Sus scrofa: one gene and its partners. The protein of the gene in region 1 interacts with the protein of each later gene in a biochemical or structural test. Links are inferred from orthologs where the notes say so. Each region holds a gene or a part of one and is shown in the gene's direction. Other genes may lie near its edges.

What was found.
Region 2: the proteins of ACTB (region 1) and PFN1 form a complex in vitro, tested with the Homo sapiens proteins (2 studies listed by BioGRID and IntAct, with this or other methods). The link is inferred for Sus scrofa from reciprocal best matches to the Homo sapiens genes ACTB and PFN1.
Region 3: the proteins of ACTB (region 1) and SPTBN2 form a complex in vitro, tested with the Homo sapiens proteins (2 studies listed by BioGRID). The link is inferred for Sus scrofa from reciprocal best matches to the Homo sapiens genes ACTB and SPTBN2.
Region 4: the proteins of ACTB (region 1) and HIP1R form a complex in vitro, tested with the Homo sapiens proteins (2 studies listed by BioGRID). The link is inferred for Sus scrofa from reciprocal best matches to the Homo sapiens genes ACTB and HIP1R.

Annotation. Positions count from the first base shown.
Region 1 is NC_010445.4:4,087,023-4,092,200, reverse strand, and holds the start of ACTB (actin, cytoplasmic 1), read left to right. Parts: upstream 1-1,817; 5' UTR 1,818-1,942; intron 1,943-2,655; 5' UTR 2,656-2,661; coding exon 2,662-2,784; intron 2,785-2,916; coding exon 2,917-3,156; intron 3,157-3,603; coding exon 3,604-4,042; intron 4,043-4,140; coding exon 4,141-4,322; intron 4,323-4,452; coding exon 4,453-4,596; 3' UTR 4,597-4,603; exon of another isoform or gene 4,604-5,178. UniProt on the Homo sapiens protein: Actin is a highly conserved protein that polymerizes to produce filaments that form cross-linked networks in the cytoplasm of cells.
Region 2 is NC_010454.4:51,960,685-51,965,822, forward strand, and holds PFN1 (profilin-1), read left to right. Parts: upstream 1-1,957; 5' UTR 1,958-2,157; coding exon 2,158-2,289; intron 2,290-3,753; coding exon 3,754-3,946; intron 3,947-4,522; coding exon 4,523-4,620; 3' UTR 4,621-4,886; downstream 4,887-5,138. UniProt on the Homo sapiens protein: Binds to actin and affects the structure of the cytoskeleton. At high concentrations, profilin prevents the polymerization of actin, whereas it enhances it at low concentrations. By binding to PIP2, it inhibits the formation of IP3 and DG.
Region 3 is NC_010444.4:5,711,589-5,716,089, forward strand, and holds part of SPTBN2 (spectrin beta chain, non-erythrocytic 2), read left to right. Parts: intron 1-2,419; coding exon 2,420-2,532; intron 2,533-2,655; coding exon 2,656-2,843; intron 2,844-4,501. UniProt on the Homo sapiens protein: Probably plays an important role in neuronal membrane skeleton.
Region 4 is NC_010456.5:30,021,123-30,026,242, reverse strand, and holds the start of HIP1R (huntingtin-interacting protein 1-related protein), read left to right. Parts: upstream 1-1,899; 5' UTR 1,900-2,088; coding exon 2,089-2,181; intron 2,182-5,120. UniProt on the Homo sapiens protein: Component of clathrin-coated pits and vesicles, that may link the endocytic machinery to the actin cytoskeleton. Binds 3-phosphoinositides (via ENTH domain).

The DNA of each region.
Region 1 (5,178 bases):
CATCAACCCGCAGCAAACCCCACCTCCCGCCCCAACCCCCGAATCACAGGGCTGGCAGGTCCTGAGGTGGCTGGCCCCTCGCCCACGACTGAGAGACACAAGGCCTGGGACAGGGAGCGCAGTCTGGCCCCTGGGAGGGAGGGAGTGGATGGGCTGGGAACATTCGCCCAGGCCTGGGGCGGGGTTGGGGGAGTTGTTCCCTGGGAATGCTAGCTGGTGGCCCTGAGCCTGCAGGCTCTGCTGTGCGCTGGGGGACGGTCACCCTTCCTACCTGTTTGTAGCCTCTGCAACCTTCCAAGTGCCCTGCCACTGGCCTCCCACAGGGGGCTGGACCAAGCTGCCTCTTCCCTGGCCAGATTCCACACCCATATATGGACTAATCTTTCGCTGGTTTCAACACACACTCAAGGAGCACCTACTATGCGTAGCAAAGCCCTAGGCAGACCTGGAGACAGACGCCCGAGGGCAGGCCAGGGCCCCCACCTGGACCCCTCTGCCCTGTTTCCTTTGTGGGAAAATTCAGCTTGTCACGGCCTCGGAGAAGGTGCACCTCCACGCTGCCCCGCTGGGCTTCCTTCGGCCACTCACTGCCCACTGGTGGCCCCCGCCTGGGTGCAGGCTCTCCCTGCTGGACAGGCAGTTCCCAGAGCAGGGAACCACTGGGAACACCCGGGGGCACCCAGGTCTGACCCCGTGTTTGGTGGAGAGACCAGGGCAGGAGTGGGCCCCAGCTGGTCCCTGCTGCCCCACCCCCCTCCCCCTAACTCCTCTCTGGCACATTGAATGTCCTTCCCCAGTCCTTGGTGGCCTCCAGATGGTCTAGGAGGGCAGTTCAGCTGTGGCTGCACGTGACAGACAGACGATGGATGGTGGGTCCCAGAGCTGTGCTCAGTGGCCCTGCCTGCCTGCAGCCAGCAGTGCTTGGCAGCTGCCTGGGTCGCCAGCTAATGGCCCAGGCTTGGCCTTGGCTGGGTGTGACCAGGCAGCCTCAGCCGCAGCCCAGCTCCATGGGAACAGCTTCTCTGCTCTACGGAGCCCACCTCTCCTGGGCCTGCAGCAAGGGAGGCCTGGAGCCCTCTTCACGGGGAACTTCCAGCCCCCAGCCCCTGGGGCCTGTCCTGTCCCTAGAGACTGCAGTCCTGAAGCCCCTGCTACGTGTCTCCAAGTCCCCTGACTCAAGCATGCCCCACCATAGCCCTCAAGCCCACGGTCTCTAAGTAATGTGCCCCCTTAGCAAGCTCAGCACCCCCACTTAGCAAGCTCAGCACCCCCAGTCGGGGCCCCCCCTTACCCAGGCTTTCTGGGCAGCAGAGCTAATGTCGCCAAGGGGAGGGTGACTCTCTCATCACTCCTTTCCCCCACCTGCTCCTTAAGCATGCACCCACAGCAACCAGGGACTCTCGCATCCGTGCTGACCCTTGCCCACAGGGGCGCTCACTGCTTTGGGGCATCCACATTCGGAGGGTGCCGGGGTGGGGAGACCCGGAGACCAGCAGGCCGGGTGCAGGCCTGGCCAAGCGGGGCCGGACCCGACACTGCTCAGGCGGGCGGCGGCCCACTGTTGGGGCCCAGCACCCAAGGGCGGCCGACGCCAAAACTCTCTCCCTCCTCTTCCTCAATCTCGCTCTCGCTCTCTCCTAGCCAGTCCATCTCCCTCCCTCTTTCTTTTTTTTTTTTTTTCTTTTTTTTTTTTTTTGCAAAAGGAGGGGAGAGGGGGTAAAAAAATGCTGCACTGTGCGGCGAGGCCGGTGAGTGAGCGGCGCGGGGCCAATCAGCGCTCGCCGTTTCGAAAGTTGCCTTTTATGGCTCGAGCCGCCGCGACTGCGCCCCATAAAACCCGGCGGCGCGACGCACAGCCACAGCCGAGACCGCGTCCACTCCGCCAGCACAGGCCCCTCGCCCTTGCCGCTCCGCCTTCGCCGCCGGTCTACACCGCTACCAGGTAGGGTCCCCGCACCGGCCGGGCCGCTGATGCGCTGGGCCCGTGCCTCTTGTGGGCAGGTGGCCCCCTCCGCCCCGGCCCCGTGGACAGCCGGCCGGGTGCCGGGAATGGACTCATGCGCTCCTCGTTCGGGGCCCGGGCTGCGCTCGGGGAGCGCTCCCAGAGTGTTTCTTTGGGAGCCCTAGCGGCGGCGATTCTTTGTCCGAGCGGGCCGATCGCTCCGCCGGCGGGAGAGCAGTGCAGCCGGGCGGCGGGGCGGGTGGGTGGGCGCGGCGCGGTGGCCGAGCCGGGTGGGGGCTGGGACGCCAGTGCGCGTGCGTGTGCGCCGTAGGCCCAGGAGGCGAGGGCGGGGCGGGCGGCCGGAAGGGGTGGGGTCGCCGCGGCGCGAGAGCGCCTGCGCGCACTTCCTCGCGGAGCCACGGGCCGCCCCGGGTGTGGTCGCCGCGCGCCCGCCGAGTGGCGCTTTTTGGGCGGGGCGGGGCTGGCGCCCAGTGGGGAGGGGGCGGAGGCCTGGCTTCCTGCCGCGCGCCTCGGGGCCGCCTCCGACCAGCGTTTGCCTTTTATGGTAATAACGCGGCCGGCCGGCTTCCTTTGTCCCCAATCTGGGCGCGTGCCGGCGCCCCCTGGCGGCTCGAACGCGCGTCGCGCCGGAAGTGAGTAGGGCGGAGGCGGCCGCACCCGGCCTCCGGCTCACGGTCCTGCTGCCCCTGCAGTTCGCCATGGATGACGATATTGCTGCGCTCGTGGTCGACAACGGCTCCGGCATGTGCAAGGCCGGCTTTGCGGGCGACGATGCTCCCCGGGCCGTCTTCCCCTCCATCGTGGGGCGCCCCCGACACCAGGTAGGGCGCCGCCCTCGGGTCTGACTTGGTGGGTGGGGTCTTGGTAGCAGGTGGAGGGAAGGGGGAGGCTTTCTGCGTGGGGGCCGGTGGGGCCGGGCCCGGGCTGAAGGCGCCTCGCCCCTCCTTCCGCAGGGCGTGATGGTGGGCATGGGCCAGAAGGACTCCTACGTGGGGGACGAGGCCCAGAGCAAGAGAGGCATCCTGACCCTCAAGTACCCCATCGAGCACGGCATCGTCACCAACTGGGACGACATGGAGAAGATCTGGCACCACACCTTCTACAACGAGCTGCGTGTGGCCCCCGAGGAGCACCCCGTGCTGCTGACCGAGGCCCCCCTGAACCCCAAAGCCAACCGTGAGAAGATGACCCAGGTCAGTGGCCCACTGGGCTCTCTCGGGCGGCCGCCCCCTCCTCTCTTGCCCCTCTTTGCCACGCCCTTTCTCACTTGTTCTTTCTTCTGCCATTTTCCTAGGACTTTTCTTCTCTGACCTGAGTCTCCTTTGGAACTCTGCAGGTTCTATTTGCTTTTCCCCAGCTGGAGTCTTTCTCGTGTTTGCCTTTCTGACTAGGTGTTAAAAGCATAAGGTGCTGTGGGTGTATAGGTACTAACACTGGCTCGTGTGACAAAGCCGACGAGGCTGCCGTAAAGGGGCCTCGGAGTGTGTATCCCGTAGGTGCACAGTAGGTCTGACGTGACTCCCCGACCTGGGGTCCCCAGCACACTTAGCCGTGTTCCTTGCACTCTCTGCATGTCCCCAGTCCGGCCTGACTGCCCCCGGCGGCTTCCCGAGGGTGACAGCGTCCCTCCCTCCCTCCAGATCATGTTCGAGACCTTCAACACCCCAGCCATGTACGTGGCCATCCAGGCCGTGCTGTCCCTGTACGCCTCTGGCCGCACCACTGGCATCGTGATGGACTCCGGAGACGGGGTCACCCACACGGTGCCCATCTACGAGGGGTACGCCCTGCCCCACGCCATCCTGCGTCTGGACCTGGCTGGCCGGGACCTGACCGACTACCTCATGAAGATCCTGACGGAGCGGGGCTACAGCTTCACCACCACGGCCGAGCGGGAGATCGTGCGGGACATCAAGGAGAAGCTGTGCTACGTCGCCCTGGACTTCGAGCAGGAGATGGCCACTGCCGCGTCCTCCTCCTCCCTGGAGAAGAGCTACGAGCTGCCCGACGGCCAGGTCATCACCATCGGCAACGAGCGCTTCCGCTGCCCCGAGGCGCTCTTCCAGCCCTCCTTCCTGGGTGAGGACGCAGCCCTGGCCCTGCCTTCCCCCCGCCCCCCCTGGCTCACCCGGTGGTGGCCACAGCGGAAGCTCAGTCGGGCTTCTCTCCCCCCTCAGGCATGGAATCCTGCGGCATCCACGAAACTACCTTCAACTCCATCATGAAGTGCGACGTCGACATCCGCAAGGACCTCTACGCCAACACGGTGCTGTCGGGTGGCACCACCATGTACCCAGGCATCGCCGACAGGATGCAGAAGGAGATCACGGCCCTGGCGCCCAGCACGATGAAGATCAAGGTGAGTGCCCAGCCTGAGCTGGCCGGGTGCGGCCGGGCGGCGTGGGTGCCACGGCAGCCGCCGCGGAGCGGGTGCTCTGGGGACCAGGGCTCTGACCGCCACCCGCCTCACTGTCCCCTTCTCCTTCCAGATCATCGCGCCTCCAGAGCGCAAGTACTCCGTGTGGATCGGCGGCTCCATCCTGGCCTCGCTGTCCACCTTCCAGCAGATGTGGATCAGCAAGCAGGAGTACGACGAGTCCGGCCCCTCCATCGTCCACCGCAAATGCTTCTAGGCGGACTGTTAGTTGCATTCCACCTTTTTCTTGACAAAACCTAACTTGCGCAGAAAATGAGATGAGATTGGCATGGCTTTATTTGGTTTTGTTTTTTTGGTTTTTTTTTTTGTCTTGATATTTTTTTTTTTTTTTTTTTTTGGCGCTTGACTCAGGATTTAAAAACTGGAACGGTGAAGGTGACAGCAGTCGGTTGGATGGAGCATCCCCCAAAGTTTTACAATGTGGCCGAGGACTTTGATTGTACATTGTTCTTTTTTTTTTTTTTTTTTTTTTTTTTTAAATAGTCATTCCAAGTATCATGAGATGCATTGTTACAGGAAGTCCCTGCCTTCCCAAAAGCTGCCCCGCCTCCCCCTGAGGAGAAGGGCCAGTCCTCGCCCAGGTCCACCCGAGGAGGGCAGTAGCATCGCTTTAGTGTAAATTATGTACTCCAACATTTTTTTTAATCTTCGCCTTAATACTTGTTCTTTTTGTTTGTTTTATTTTGAGTGGTCAGCCATCACAATCCCCTTTTTTGTCCCGCAACTTGAAGTATGAAGGCTTTTGGTCCCCCTAGGAGCGGGTTGAGGTGCGGAGGCA
Region 2 (5,138 bases), on another chromosome or scaffold:
ACAGCACTTATCGCCCCGCGTGGAGACTGCCAGTCAGGAGCCCTTTCCCCACCGACGGCGGGCGCTTCAGGTCGCGATCCCAGTCTATCAATGAATGGTGTTCAAGCAAAGTGAAAAAAAATGAACAGGAGTGTGGCCCTTTCTGAGCGTCTGACCGCCGTGGCGGGTGGGGGGGGGCAGTTGGGTGGTCTGCTAACAGCCCTGCGGGAAAACGCGTCTCGGAATTTGGTGAATTTCTCCGCCTGGGCGTGTTGGGCGGGAGTGAAGTCTGTGCCGACTTGGGCTGCAAACCCAGCCGGGAGCGGAGGGCACGCTGGGGCTTGGGCCAGCAGGCTGGCCAGCCAAAGGGCGAGGGTCACCGGCGCCTCGGCTCGTCGCCCCTGATTCGGAGGTCCTTCCCGCAGGCGCCGGAGCGGCCAGCGCCTGGTGACTCACCCCCGGCCCTTTCCCGAGCTCTCCTCCCCACCCCGCCTGCCCTGCGGGGTCGGTCTCCCAGCCCCCACCCCAGGATCCCTACTCCCGTCTTCCATCTCACCCCCCCCTTATCTCTGGCCGCTCCCTCTCGGGAGATTTCCACCCTGGGGTAGGGGGTGCGGCAGGCCAGAGGTCAGGAGACGGCGGGCGGGGAGCGCCGCCACGTGCCCGCGTGCGGCCCCGCCCGGGCCGGCCAGTGACTCAGCCACGGCGGCTGTCGAGGAACCAGGCTCGGGGGGCGGCGGGTGCCTTTAGGGTTCGCAGCGGCCTCGGGAGCACCGCACCCCTCTGGGGGGGACGGGGAAGGTACGAAGCCCCTTCACGCCCGGGAGGCGCCCCTCCCCCGAGGGACCGGAAGCGGCCAAGCCCCTCAGCGGACCCGGCGGCCAGCCGGGGCTGGTTCACCTAAGCCGGGTCCTAACCCCACCCGCTTCCCAGCGGGCGGCGAACGAACTCTTCGCACACAATTTCTTAGCATAAGTTTTACTGAAAAAAGAAGAGGAAAAAGGCCCAGGGGGCCAGGGTAGAAGGGACTTTCCTCTTCTTGAAAAAGTTGCATGTTGAAACCCTAGTATTCTTCCGCCTTGAAAAATAGGCCCGCCCGCCGCGCCCCGCGGGCGCCGAGGCTCAGTGACCTCTGCAGAGACAGGGTAAGGGGGACGGACGGCGACCCAAACTGCTGACCGGGGCACAGTCATGGAGTGAGGCCTAAGGCTGGAGCTGATCCAGCGCGAGGGATAATCCCCGTGGAGTCGGGTGGGCTCCAGCGAGTGCAACTTATGCCGCCGTGCAGATGCTGAGGACAGAAGTGTCCCCGGTGGGCGCCTTCAACTTGGAAAATGGTCGGGGTATTTTGTCAAATTTCCCTTTACTGCCTTTATTTCTTGAATAAATAAAATCAAGAGTGCAGAAGCGGTAACGTGCGCGCCTCACCCCCGCCCCTTCCGCCCAGCAGCAGACACGTCCCCGGCCCGCCTTCCTTCGCTGGGGGTCCAATTCGGCCCGGCCCGGCGCGCCCCGGCGCGCGCCCGCGAAGCCGGCGGCCGGCCCTAACCGCCCCACGCGCTCTCGCTCTCTGCCCCGGCGCAGGCGCGGGCGCACGCGCTGCCGCCGCCTGCCGTTCCTCCCCCCGCAACCCCACAGCAGAGGTGGGGGAAGGGGGAGTCGTTCCGTTTAACCCTGAGTTCCCCGAACCCTCTTAATCTGCTAAATTTGCAGCTCGCTAGTTCTTTCTCCGTTCACTTTCCTTCCTCCCTCTGGCTCACTCTCTTTCCCTACACCAAAGTCTAATATTCTATGCAAATTGGCGCGAGCCCCAACTCTAACCCCCCCGCCTCCCATCCTTTCAGCGTCGGTTCCCATCGAACTCGGCAAATTTTGCAATAGGGGGAGGGATTTTTTAAATTGCATTTGCAAAGTTCGGTATCTGGGCAGGCGAGAAGGAGGAGGGAGGGGATGAGGAGTAGGCCCCGCCCCCACCGCCCTTTGCAAATAAAAATCTAGGGGGGTGGGGAGGAGCAGGAAGTGGCGGTGCGAGGGCTGCTGCACAGCTAGCAGAGCCGCGGTCCGGACGGCAGCGCGTGCCCCAAGCTCTCTGCCTTCCCCCGCCCGCCAGTCCGAGGCAGCCCGAGCCCAACCCGCGGCCCCAGCAGTAGCCCCGAGAGCAGCCCCAGTAGCAGCGCCATGGCCGGGTGGAACGCCTACATCGACAACCTCATGGCGGACGGGACCTGTCAGGACGCGGCCATCGTGGGCTATAAGGACTCGCCCTCCGTCTGGGCCGCCGTCCCCGGGAAAACCTTCGTCAACATCACGGTACTGCGAGGCCTGCGGGGTCTGGGGAACTGGCCGGGCTTGGACCCTGAGGGAGGGACTTGGGTGGGGGCGGGCACGCTCTGGAGAGCGCAGCGAAAAGCCGTGGTCGCTCCTGGCCCTGGAAGTGGCGCGAATGGTGGCTGCACGTGAGCCGGTCCGTCCCGGGGCCCCCCGAGTCGTACGTCCCGGGCGGCGGCGCCCGGCCAGCCCGCCGGCCCCGCTCTCCGAGACGGGGCGTTACATCCGGGGCACAGGGCGGGGAGGGGCGCGCCGCCCGGTGCGGCGGCCCACTTCCGTCTCCTCCAGGGCGGGGCGGGCACACGCTGCAGTTTCAACCCGGGATTGTGATTGAGAAGGGACTCGGGGACCCCTGGACCCTGAGCTCCACTTCCGCCCGCCTGCTCGCGCCCCCTCCACCATTGTTCCTCCTTATGCGGTGGGAGCCCGGCTCGCGTGGCCAAGGTCCCATGCCCGTCCTCTGCGCTCCCTGCCCCTCCCAGCTCCGTTAGAGAGGGCTAGGCCGCCTCACGCCCTCCGCCCCCCCGCAGTCGGCACGTTAGACTCAACATTCCTGTGAGACCGATCCCGGAAGTCCCCTCGCCCTCCCTTCCCGCCATCCGGCGGGGCCTGGAGCAGGGGAACTTTGTGAGAAGTTCTAGGACTGAATTATCAGTGAAGGAGTAAGGGATGACTTCTGCTGTCCCCTCACCACCTCCCCAGTCCACACTGCCCGGAAGTGGGGAGGGGGAGCGGAAGTTCGAAAGGGGGGGAAGGGGATTTCCGGGCGGGAGGGGACCGGATGTGGGGATTTGGGGTGTAAGGGGGAGGGGAGAGAGTTTCCCTGGGGTATCAAGACCCGAGAGCTGGCTTGCTGGGTCTAGCCCCAGGCCCCCTCCAAAAGTTTTTCAACTTTCCCGGAATGCCCCCAGACATCTTGCTTCCTCCTCTTAGAGCACAGATACCTGGACCTGAACTCAAGGTTACTTAGAGACCCAGGCGTCCGGGCCCCTAACAACTCCTGTAGAACCTTTGACCAAATAAGGGCAAAGTTGCTTCTCCTGCTTCGCCCGCCCCCTCCCTTCCCCTCTTCGCTTCTGCTTTTCCTGAAGGAGACTTCTGAGCATCCAAAGGCTCTCCAGTCCATTCCACTCCACTCTCCTCACTCCTTTTTGGCCCCCTTTATTTCCTGGGTTTGCTTTCCCAAGAAATGACATCTAAGTCTCCAGGGGAATATGTCGTCCCTTTCTGTTACCATTCTCCTAAGTTTGAGGATCATGATCTTTTTGTGCACGAACTTCCGACAGTCCTGAGTTGCTCAAATTTCACTGGTGTGTACAAAGCACATAACATACACCCCTCCCAGGGGGGTTAGCTTCCTGAAGAAATGGAAGGCAGGTGGGTCCTTGGAGAAGGTGGGAACCTTGGGGTACTGACTAACTTGATGGTGCTTGGTTCCCCTTCCAGCCAGCTGAGGTTGGTGTCCTGGTTGGCAAAGACCGGTCAAGTTTTTTCGTGAATGGGCTAACGCTTGGGGGCCAGAAATGCTCTGTGATCCGGGACTCACTGCTGCAGGACGGGGAATTTACCATGGATCTTCGTACCAAGAGCACTGGCGGAGCCCCCACCTTCAATATCACTGTCACCATGACTGCCAAGAGTGAGTTTCTGAGTTTTTTGCCCTTTCCCTAATGGACCTCCTTCTGCTAATCTTTCGGGTTTTCTTTGTGGATTCCCCAGTATGAAGGGATCAGGCCTGGGACGCTGGATTGTCCCTCTAGTTCTGTCTCAGTTCCTCATCTTAGAAAGAAGTTGAACTGTATTACCTCTTAAGTTCCTTCTTGCCTTGAGTCTTTTTAGCTGGGAAACTCTCTGGTTTTCTTGGAGGAGGTAGGCTGTTAGTTCTAAGTCGGCACTTGAGCTCTTGTCTTTGGGGCTCTTTGTTAAAACTTGGAGGTGGCAGGCTCATCCACAGCCATTTCTAGCCTGAACACATGAGTCAACTGTCTGCGAGCCTTTGACCCCTAAATTTTACTGTGTTCCTTTCCAGCCTTTAAGCTTGATTTTCCCCTTTTGAAAAGCCCTATTGTTTCAGGGTGACTGACAGCCTGCCTGTGTGTGGGGGGTTGGGAAAGATGAGGTTGGGTTACAGCCCCCAGGGCTGGACAGCTGCTGAACAGCTGGCGGGAGTGGGATTGTGACACCTGGGTCCTAGCCTCCTTTCTCTTTCCTCCAGCGCTAGTCCTGCTGATGGGCAAAGAAGGTGTCCACGGTGGTATGATCAACAAGAAATGTTATGAAATGGCTTCCCACCTGCGGCGTTCCCAGTACTGACCTCGTCTGTCCCTCCCCTTCACTCCCCACTGCTTTTGCACCCCTCTCCTTCCCACACACACACATCCACCATTTTTATTTTTTGGGCCATTACCCCACACCCCTTATTGCTGCCAAAACCACGTGGATTGGGGGCCAGGGCTGGATGGACAGACACCTCCCCCAACCCATACCCTTTCCTGTGTGTGGTTGGAAAACTTTTTTTGTTTTTTGGGTTTTTTTTTTTTTTTTTTTTTTTTTTTCTGAATAAAAAAAGATTCTAACAAGGTGCTGTGTGGTTTTAGCCTGGGTATCAGGACGGAGGACAGCCACCATGACCTGCCTCCTCCATTCTGGCTTGGGGTTAGGGTTGAGGCACTGCACATCTAGGAATTTAAGCTTCTTGCTGTCGTGTCCAGGCTTAAACATCTGCTTCAGGGTCTACCTGGCAGGTGGCTCAGCCCTTCCGCAATAACACATCCAGCCCCAGGTCGTCAGTCTGCTAGCCGAATTGGTGGATAATGGAAGAGCCGTGCAGC
Region 3 (4,501 bases), on another chromosome or scaffold:
ATTGGCAGGGAATGAATCTTGTGGCTCAGCAGTAACGAACCCAATGAGAATCCACGAGGATGCTGGTTTGATCCCTGGCCTCGCTCAGTGGGTTCAAGATCTGACGTTGCCATGAGCTGTGGTGTAGGTCACAGACACAGCTCAGGTTTTGCGTTGCTGTGGCTGTAGCATAGGCCCGCAGCTGTAGCCCCAATCTGACCCCCAGCCTGGGAACCTCCATATGCTGCATATTTGGCCCTAAAAAGCAAAAGAAAGAACCCAACTAGTGGGAGTTCCCATCATGGCTCAGCAGGTTATGAACCTGACTAGTATCCATGAGGATGCGGGTTCAATCCCTGGCCTTGCTCAGTGGGTTAAGGATCTGGCGTTGCCGTGATCTATGGTGTGGGTCAAAGATGTGGCTCGGATTCGGTGTTGCCAAGGCTGTGGCATAGGCTGGCAGCTACAGCTCCAATTCGACCGACCCTTAGCCCAGGAACGTCCATATGTCACAGGTGTGCCCCTAAAAATGAAAATTAAATAAAATAAAATGAGAAGATTGGTCTACATGGTGTCTAAGGGACCTTCTTATTCCAAAATTTTAGGATTCTAAATTAAGTTACGTGACTTTGAGGTCTCACCAAGCACTGGCCTTAGGTTCAGCTGACCCTGCTGATCGGCCCCTGTGATTCTGATCTAAGGCTGACGAGACTGCTAACGGCCACTGGGCTCTTGTTGTGCACCTGGCACTGCACTTGCCACGCTCCAATTCCCCGAGTCCTCACAATGCCCCCTTTGAAATCAATATCCTTATTATCCTCCGTCTATGGAAGAGAAGACAGGGGCCTCTAAAGGTTAAGTGACTTCCCCAGGCTTCTGGCTGGTGGAGCTGAGATTGAAATTCAGGCAGCCTGGCTCTAGAACCTGCTTCCTCAGCCTCCTCTGCTGGAGAGCAGAGGGCAGTGTTGGTGCAGCCAGAAGACAGAAGGACAGAAGGGCCAAGGACCTTCCTTGCTGGAAATGCTCCTTCTGAAGCTCCCTGGGCAGCTTTGGGTCTTTGCTATTTTCTCCCTGTTTTCCCTTCCACCTGCGGCCCCGGGTCCCCTGCCCTCTTAGTCCAGAATGACAGACATCGGCTAACTAGTGAGGCGAGTAGGCTAAGCATGAGGTTTCTTGGAGAGCCTTTGAGGAGCATACCTGTGATAAGGAACATTTGAGTAAAGTCTAATATCCTGTAACTTTTGAGTTGTTGTCTTTTGAAGACCGCACTTGTGGCACATGGAAGTTCCCGGCCTACCGCACAGCCATAGCCACACCAGATCCGAGCTGCGTCTGTGGCCTACACCACAGCTCATGGCAACACTGGATCCTTAACCCACTGAGTGAAGCCAGGGATCCGACCCACGTTCTCATGCATACTTAGTGGGTTTGTTGCCACTAAGCCACAACAGGAACACCTTCCTTCCGTATCTTTCTGAGAGGTCGTCCATGGCTCCTGCCTGCCTATGGGGTGTCAGAGGTGCTCAGGAGGGCTTTCGCTCTCATAGTCTTCCCCGAAGGTAGGATACAGTCTGGCCTAATTAAGAGAACCCAAGGGCATTCCTGTTCGGGCGCAGCGGGATCAGTGGTGTCTCTTCAGCGGGAGGAGACAGGTTCGACCCCCAGCCTGGCACAGGGTGTTAAAGGATCCGGCACTGCTGCAGCTGTAGCATAGGTCATAGCTGTGGCTCAGATCTGACCCCAGGCCCGGGAACTCCATAAGCTGTGGGGTGGCCAAAAAAAAGAAAGAAAAACGAGAACTCTGGGATTTCAAGTCATAGTCAGCCTTGGTCCTTGGTCCTCGTGGTAGAAGTTAATTTGGCTTGAAGGACACTCCCCTTCTGGGCCCACAGCTGAACTTTGGGCTTGCGGTCAGAACTAGACATGACTCTGCTGGAAGATGGCCCTGAGGCCTGGCCTCTGTCCCTGCTGCCAGGGCTCCCTGGCCCCCTCCCTATGGGCATCCTGGGTTCAGGAGGCTTTGTTTGTTCATTCTGTCTTGCTGCCACTAAACTGGATGACTTCATGGACATCGTTCTAGCCCATAGGTCCATGATCCATCCCCAAACTGGAATGCTCTTTCTTTCCTTGTCGCTCTTCCTCCCAATGACCAATTTTGGTCTCCACTGGGAATAATGGATAGAAGCCTCCTCGGGCTTCTGGGTTTTATATTCTGCTTGTTTCTAGCAAGGGAAAAAAAAAAAAAAAAAAAAAGGTTAGCTTATCATGCACTTTTAGTCCAAGTGGTTTCTCTGTCATTTTGCTCTGAAGGGAGCTGGAAAGATGTCAGCCTTCGAGGGCTGGGAGGGCCCGGGACTGGAGTCTGTGATTCAAGTTGTGGGTGTGCTTCTGGGAGGCAGGTTTCTAGTCTCCGCCTGACCTGAGCGCTCCTTCTTCTCAGACGTGAACGTGGACCAACCAGATGAGAAATCAATTATTACCTATGTGGCTACTTACTACCATTACTTTTCCAAGATGAAGGCCCTGGCCGTGGAAGGCAAAAGAATCGGCAAGGTAGCCTTCACCGGGGCGGAGGCGGGGCGTCAAGGCCGGAGGAGGCCTGGTCGAGGGCTCCTACAGCTTTAAAGCAGGAGCGGGGGAGGACGGGACCGGGGAGCCCACACCACTGTCTTGCAGGTGCTGGACCACGCCATGGAGGCCGAGCGCCTGGTGGAGAAGTATGAGTCCCTGGCCTCGGAGCTGCTGCAGTGGATTGAGCAGACGATTGTGACTCTCAACGACCGGCAGCTGGCCAACTCCCTGAGCGGGGTCCAGAACCAGCTCCAGTCCTTCAATTCCTACCGCACCGTGGAGAAGCCACCCAAGTAGGTGTCCTGGGCCACACCGTGGCACAGCTCGCCCGCCCCAAGCTGGGCTCGCACAACGGGAAGCCTCAGTTTGGGCGGCCTTTGGGGAGGGAAATTTGGCAGCACTTAAATGCAGCCAAGCCTCATTGCCCCAGCTCAGAGCACCAGAGCAGTTCTAAAATTGCATTTTTTTTTTTAAATGACTCCGTTACAAGAAATTATGCTGTGGACATGAATGCTGTGGTTTGTGGAGTCGATGCCATCCGACTGGCACCATCAGGGTGTCACAGCAACCCAGCCCCAGCTTAAGGACGAGGTCTTGGACCCAATGGGCAGGTCGTTGCTGGCCACACCGGTGTGTGGCTGATAACTTGCATGTTGCCCAGGGTCTTATCATGTAGCTATTTTAGCAGCTGACTGTGGCAGTGTGGAGTTGCTGTTGGGCGAGTCTCTACAATACCTGCCCAAACTCTTGTGTTTTTCTGTTATTGAGTCTTTTGGAGTTAATATGTCTTGCCAAGCTAATATTAATCCAGAAAGCATCTCTTCCTGTGGAGTCCAGGGAATGATTTGACGTGTGCCCTTTGACCCAGAAAGTCCTCTTCTGGGCATCAAACAAATATGTCGCTTCCAGGGTGTTCACTGATGTGGTCTTTGTAAACAAAAATAAGTCACGGGATAGCCCCTGAAAATAGTATTGGAGAAATGCCTTTATTGACCTGAAAAGATGTTCATGAAGGATAAGTCTTGCCAGGCAGTTATTTATGTCAGCAGAGAGCAAGGGGCTAAGCATCCAGGTTCAAAGTACCTGAGTTCAAATCCTGGCTCTACCACCTAGCCGTCGTGAGCATTGGGCAACTGATGTAGCTTGTCTGTGCCTCGGTTTTCTCATTGGGAAAATGGGATGAGGGGAGAATGTAGATGAAGTGAGAGCAAAATAAGTTAATTCGTGCAGAGCTCTGGGAACGGGGCCTGACTGTCAGCGAGGGGTCCTTGACACATGTTGGCCATGGCTATGATGTGATCTAATATGCGTAAAGCAAACATGCAGGATGAATGTGCCTGTGGGTGACAGTGGTCCTTTCTCTGTGGTTTTGGATTGGCTCAGCAGTTGATGAACCCGACTAGGATTCATGAGGATGCGGGTTTGATCCCTGGCCCTGCTCAGTGGGTTAAGGAGCTGGTGTTGCCGTGAGCTGTGGTGTAGGTCACAGATGCACCTCGGATCCCCAGTTGCTGTGGCTGTGGTGTAGGCCGGCAGCTGTAGCTCTGATTAGACTCCTAGCCTGGAAACTTCCATATGCCGTGGGTGCAGCCCTAAAAAACAAACCAACAACAAAAAATACAACAAAATAAAATTATGTTCTTTTGGAGTTTCCTGGTGGCTCAGTGGATTAAGGATCCAACGTTGTCACTGCTGTAGTTCGGGTCAGTGCTGTAGCACAGGTTCAGTCCCTTGCCAGAAGAATTCTGCCTGCCACAGGTGTGGCCAAAAAAAACTAAACTAAACTAAATAAAATTAGGTTCCTTTTTTTGGCCACGCCCACAGCATGGGGACCTTCCTGGGCCAGGGATCAAACCTGCGTCACAGCAATGACCTGAGCTACAGCAGTGACAACACCAGATCCTTAACCCGCTGAGCCACAAAAGAACCCCCGGCTTTCTTTTTTTAAACG
Region 4 (5,120 bases), on another chromosome or scaffold:
GACATTGCTAATGCACCAGACACGCTGCTAGGCACTAGGGGTATTTAACTGAGTAAGACAGGGTGGTCCTTGCCCCCTAGCAGCCTGAAAATCTTCCCTACAGACAGAGTACAGTTCATTAGAGATGTTTTAGCCAAGTGCTCTGGGACCCTGACAATGTTGAGTACAGCACCTGCCACAGTATTAAACTCTTTTTTTTTTCTTTCTTTTTTTAGGGCCGCACCTGTGGCATGTGGAGGTTCCCAGGCTAAGGGTCAAATAGGAGCTACAGCTTCTGGTCTATGCTACAGCCACAACCATGCCAGATCTGAGCCATGTCTTCGACCTACACCACAGCTCACGGCAACGCCAGATCCTTAACCCACTGAGCGAGCCCGGGGATTGAACCCGCAACCTCATGGTTCCTCATCAAACTCATTTCCACTGCACCACAATGAGAACGCCAATAAACTCTTTATTATTGGAAAGAGTGGTAGTTGGTTGCTGGTTGCTGTAGTAGATGTTCTAGACCCAGAGGAGTTGTTGCCTGGTTTAAAAGAAGATGCTGTGTGGAGTTCCCGTTGTGGCGCAGTGGTTAACAAATCCAACTAGGAACCATGAGGTTGAGGGTTCAATCCCTGGCCTTGCTCAGCGGCTTAAGGATCCGGTGTTGCCATGAGCTGAGCTGTCACAGACGTGGCTCGGATCCTGTATTGCTGTGGCTCTGGTGTAGGCTGACAGATATAGCTCCAATTAGACCCCTGGCCTGGGAACCTCCATATGCCGTGGCTATGCCGTGGCAGCGGCCCTAGAGAAGACAAAAAGACCAAAAGAAAAAAGAAAAAAAAAAAAAAAAAGATGCTGTGTTAAGAGTGAAGTTCACAGGATAAGTGCTTTTGTTGGGTGTGGAAAAAGGAGCCTGGGAGTACTATGGCACCACAGGTCACTGTAGCAGCTTGAGTGCAGCCAAAGGAAAAAAAAAAAGTTTGGAGCCTGCAAGTTCCTTCACTGCAGGGCTTATTTCCACCACAGCTATTGATTATGGTATTGATTATGAAATAATACATGTAAAGGATTTAGCCCAGTGCCTAGCAAATAATAAGCATTCAGTAAATATTAGCTATTGTTCTTCTAGTAAAGAGGCTTTTCAGTGATTGGAATTAGTAAAGCAGGGTTAATTCCTCTCCTTAGGGGAATGAGAGGAGAGGCTTGTCAAATACATCTTTCACATTCCCGGTATCAGTTCTGGGACTAGGCAGTGAGGAACCAGTGAGGTTACAGAATAGACAGGTAGACAACCTTCAGGGTACTGTCTCAAGGGGAGTCTTTAGTACCTATATTGGGTGACTTCATACCTATATTCTGAGAGGAAAGCTGAGGGTAGCAGAAACAAAATAACCATTTGAAAGCAAACACTGTGATTTTTTTTAAAACTTAAGTCTTGTGGACCAATAATTTAAAAAGCAAACCAGTAATAATGTTTTTAAAAGTCTCACACCACCTCCTGTGTCATCTGTTCATGCAGTTTGATGGCCCAGCTCTGTGGTTCAGATCTGACTGTGGGCTGCCCCAGCCCTGCCTCAGCTCTGGCAGGGTGTCTGCCTGCGGAGCCTGCAGTCTCTGAAAATTCATCCCACAGTCCCGCGTTGATAACAGTTGCAGTTACATTAGCGATGCACACAGAGTGGACAGCTCAATTGTATGCATTTGACACATAAATATAGGAAAGAAAAGATGTCTAGTTGTGCTTCCATTGAGTAGATTCACTGGCTCTAGGTTTTGTCCAGTTAACCAGATCCGACTTACTGAGTTTGGGGTGGAGAGTGCGCGTGAGGAGAGTTGAGCGATGGCTAGGGGTGTGGAAGGGCTGGGGCCCCCTTCGGACCTGTGCCCAGGCTGGCCGGGGCTGGGCGGGGCGGGGGGGTGGCCGGCACCGCCCCCCGGGCAGGGGCGGGGCGGCGGACGGCTCCTCCCCCAGCAGGCGGGCGGTGCTGTGCGGCGGGCTCCTCTTGGTGCCTAGGTTTGGGCGGTCGGCCTGGAATCGCTCAGACTCTCTGAGTCCGGGCTGGGTGTACAGGCGGCGGCGGCGGCGGCGGCGGCGGCGGAAGGATGAACAGCATCAAGAACGTGCCGGCGCGGGTGCTGAGCCGCAGGCCGGGCCACAGCCTGGAGGCCGAGCGCGAGCAGTTCGACAAGACCCAGGCAAGCGGCGGGGCCGCGGGCGGGCGGGCGGCGCCCTCTCCCCTTCCCCTCACACGGGTCCCTCGGGGCTCGGCCTGCGCCCGCCTTCTGACCGCGCAGGGCTCTGGCTGCCTCCTGGCCACCTCGCTCCCCGGCCACTTCGCTCCCCCGGCTGCCTCTCGGTCACGGCCACCTAGCTCCCCGGCCTCCGCCACCCGAGCCGCCCAGCGCGCAGGTGAACCGGAAGCGCGCGCCGGCGCCCGGGGCCCAGGTGGGGAGGGATCGAGGTGACTGGGGACCAAGATGCGGCCGGGGACTGAGATGCGACTGGGGACCCAGGTGGTTGGGGACCCAGGTGGTGGGGGACTGAGGTGTCCAGGGACTGAGATGCGGTTGGGGACCGAGGTGGCCAGGGACAGAAGTGTCCGAGGACTGAGATGCGGCCGGGGATCAAGGTGGTCAGGGACCGAGGTGGCCGGGGACAGAGGAGTCCAGGGACTGAGATGCGTACGGGGACCAACTTGGCTGGGAGCCGAGGTAGCGAAAAGTGGGACCCAGGTGAAGGGGGCCTAGACCGGGCGGTGGACCAGGTGGGGATCAAGGCGCATCCCGGGCCTGGATGCGTCCGGCCGACGGTGGCGACCCGACTGCATTTCTCTGCCCAGGCGGCGCCTCCCCTCCCAGCTCCTGCCACCTTCTTACACGCCTTGCAAAAATGCCCCCCTCCTTGGGAAAGCAATGCATTTCCTTAAAGGAAACTCCCTGCTTCCTTTTCTCCTGAGCTGTTTTCCAGGGCCGCACAATATCTTATTATCTGCTGGGCGAAAAGTTTCACGTATGTAGCCAGACTTGTTTGCCCGAGCGCTGGCCCACATAGAAACAGGTTCACACCCCCTTATTAAATGCCGGCGCCTGACAGAAACTTCCTGGGGCTCCCTTCCTGCACGTCCCACGCTTGGGCATCTCTTCCAGAGGGTGGCCTATCCTGGGAAGTTTAGTTTAAAAATGAAACAATGACGGGGGTGTATATTCCTCCATGTGTTCCTACTGAGACCACACTGACTAGGGCGTTGCTGTGTTTCTGGTTTTCTGTTCCTTTTTATTTTACAAACACTGAGGTGTTCTTATGCCTGGGGGCCGGGAGAGGAGAGCCTACTTGTTTATTTGCCAAAATAAGTTAGCCAAGACTGAAACAAACAGCAGAACATTTTTTACTTTAGAAATAAGCCAAAAGGACCATGCTCACCCCTGTCTGAAGCAGGGTGGTGACATATGTGTCTGCCATTAGCAAGTTCCTTACCACCTCTCCCTGCCCAGAGCAGTAACTTCTGTGGTTGCTTTCAAATCAAGTTAGCACATGCAACCTACAGCCACTTTCGTTTTGAAGTAAGAAAAAATGCAGGGGAAACATCTAACCTTTGTGCTTGAGATTAACCAGGAAAATGATAATAAAACCTTGGCTCTACAAAAGCCTAGTGCTAAACCAACTTATAGCCACTAATTACTCATTTATCCCTGTGATCATCATCATCATCTGGCCCACGGTGTATTTTCAGCCAAGATGGAACGTCATAAAAACAAATGTGGTGGAGTTCCCATTGTGGTGCAGTGGCAACGAATCCGACCAGGAACTGTGAGGTTGTGGTTCGATCCCTGGCCTCGCTCCATAGGTTAAGGATCCGACATTGCCCTGAGCTGTGGTGTAAGTCACAGACGCAGCTCGGATCCTAGCCTGGGAATCTCCATTTGCCTCGGGTGCCGCCCTAAAAAGAAAAAAAAACAAACAAACGGAAAAAACAAATGTGGCATTTAGTGTAAAGATATTAATGCAAAATTAATTGTGCCAGAAACTTGAGGAAGGACAGGGAGAAAAAAGTTAATTGGCAGAGAGAATCTGGATGTTGTCAGAGCGTTATTCATTCACTGATCTTCCGTTTTTTTCCGTGCTTTGGAAGAGGTATAAAGAGGTCGGATTGCTACATGGAGGAGGTGAGGTTTAAAGGGCCAAGTTCATTGATCTTACTCTTAAATTGTTATAAACCTTCCTGAATGTCAAAAAGGAACAGTCTCTGATACAGCACCACACATTTTGGTGGTTGGTTTAGTAAACAAGAGGGTTTTGTTTTTGCTGGTTGGGTTTTTCTCAGGGGCCGAGAGGGTTACTTATGCTGAATAATTCTAATAGGCGAATCTCCTAGAATTTACCCATTCCAGGGTTCTTTTTTTCTGGAAAGATGGAGCTCATGTCTAGATTCCCTTGTCTTCAAAGTGACTTATGGAGGGATGTAGGAATAAGGTTTTGTGCATGGTTAATATTTAATTAGCTTGCTCCCAGAAATATCTAGTGAGCTGCCAGCCAGGCCCTGTTGGTGGAAAGGACGTGAAGAGCTGAGGTCGCTGCTTACACGTCTTCTTCTGGGCAGATAATTGTACATCCAACCCACAGATGAACCTGCCCTTTGAAAGGCACCGCCTGTGTTTTCACATTGACCACAGTGCCCTGTGTGGCAGAGGGGTACTTTGGCTTCCTGAGAATTTTTTTTTTTAGGGCCACAGGTGCGGCATATGGAGGTTCCCAGGCTAGGGGTTGAATCAGAGCTACAGCTGCCAGCCTACATCACAGCTTGCGGCAATGCTGGATCCTTAACCCACTGAGCAGGGCCAGGGATTGAACCTGCATCCTCATGGATGCAGGTTTGTTGCTGCTAAGCCACAATGGGAGGCCCAAGCTTCCTGAGAATTTAAGTCCCCACGATCCTGCTGGCCTCGATTCCTCCTGGGTCAAGAGGAGGAAAAACACTTCCATAGCTTTCTTGACAGGCCACACCCTGTTTGGCAAAAAGATTCCTTCCCCGCCCTGGTTGGAAGTGTGAAGGGAGGGCAGTGGTTCTTCTCACGGTGGGTGCTTATGATTGTTGCATGATGCGAGTATGTGAGTGTGTGTGTACAATCCCAGTGGC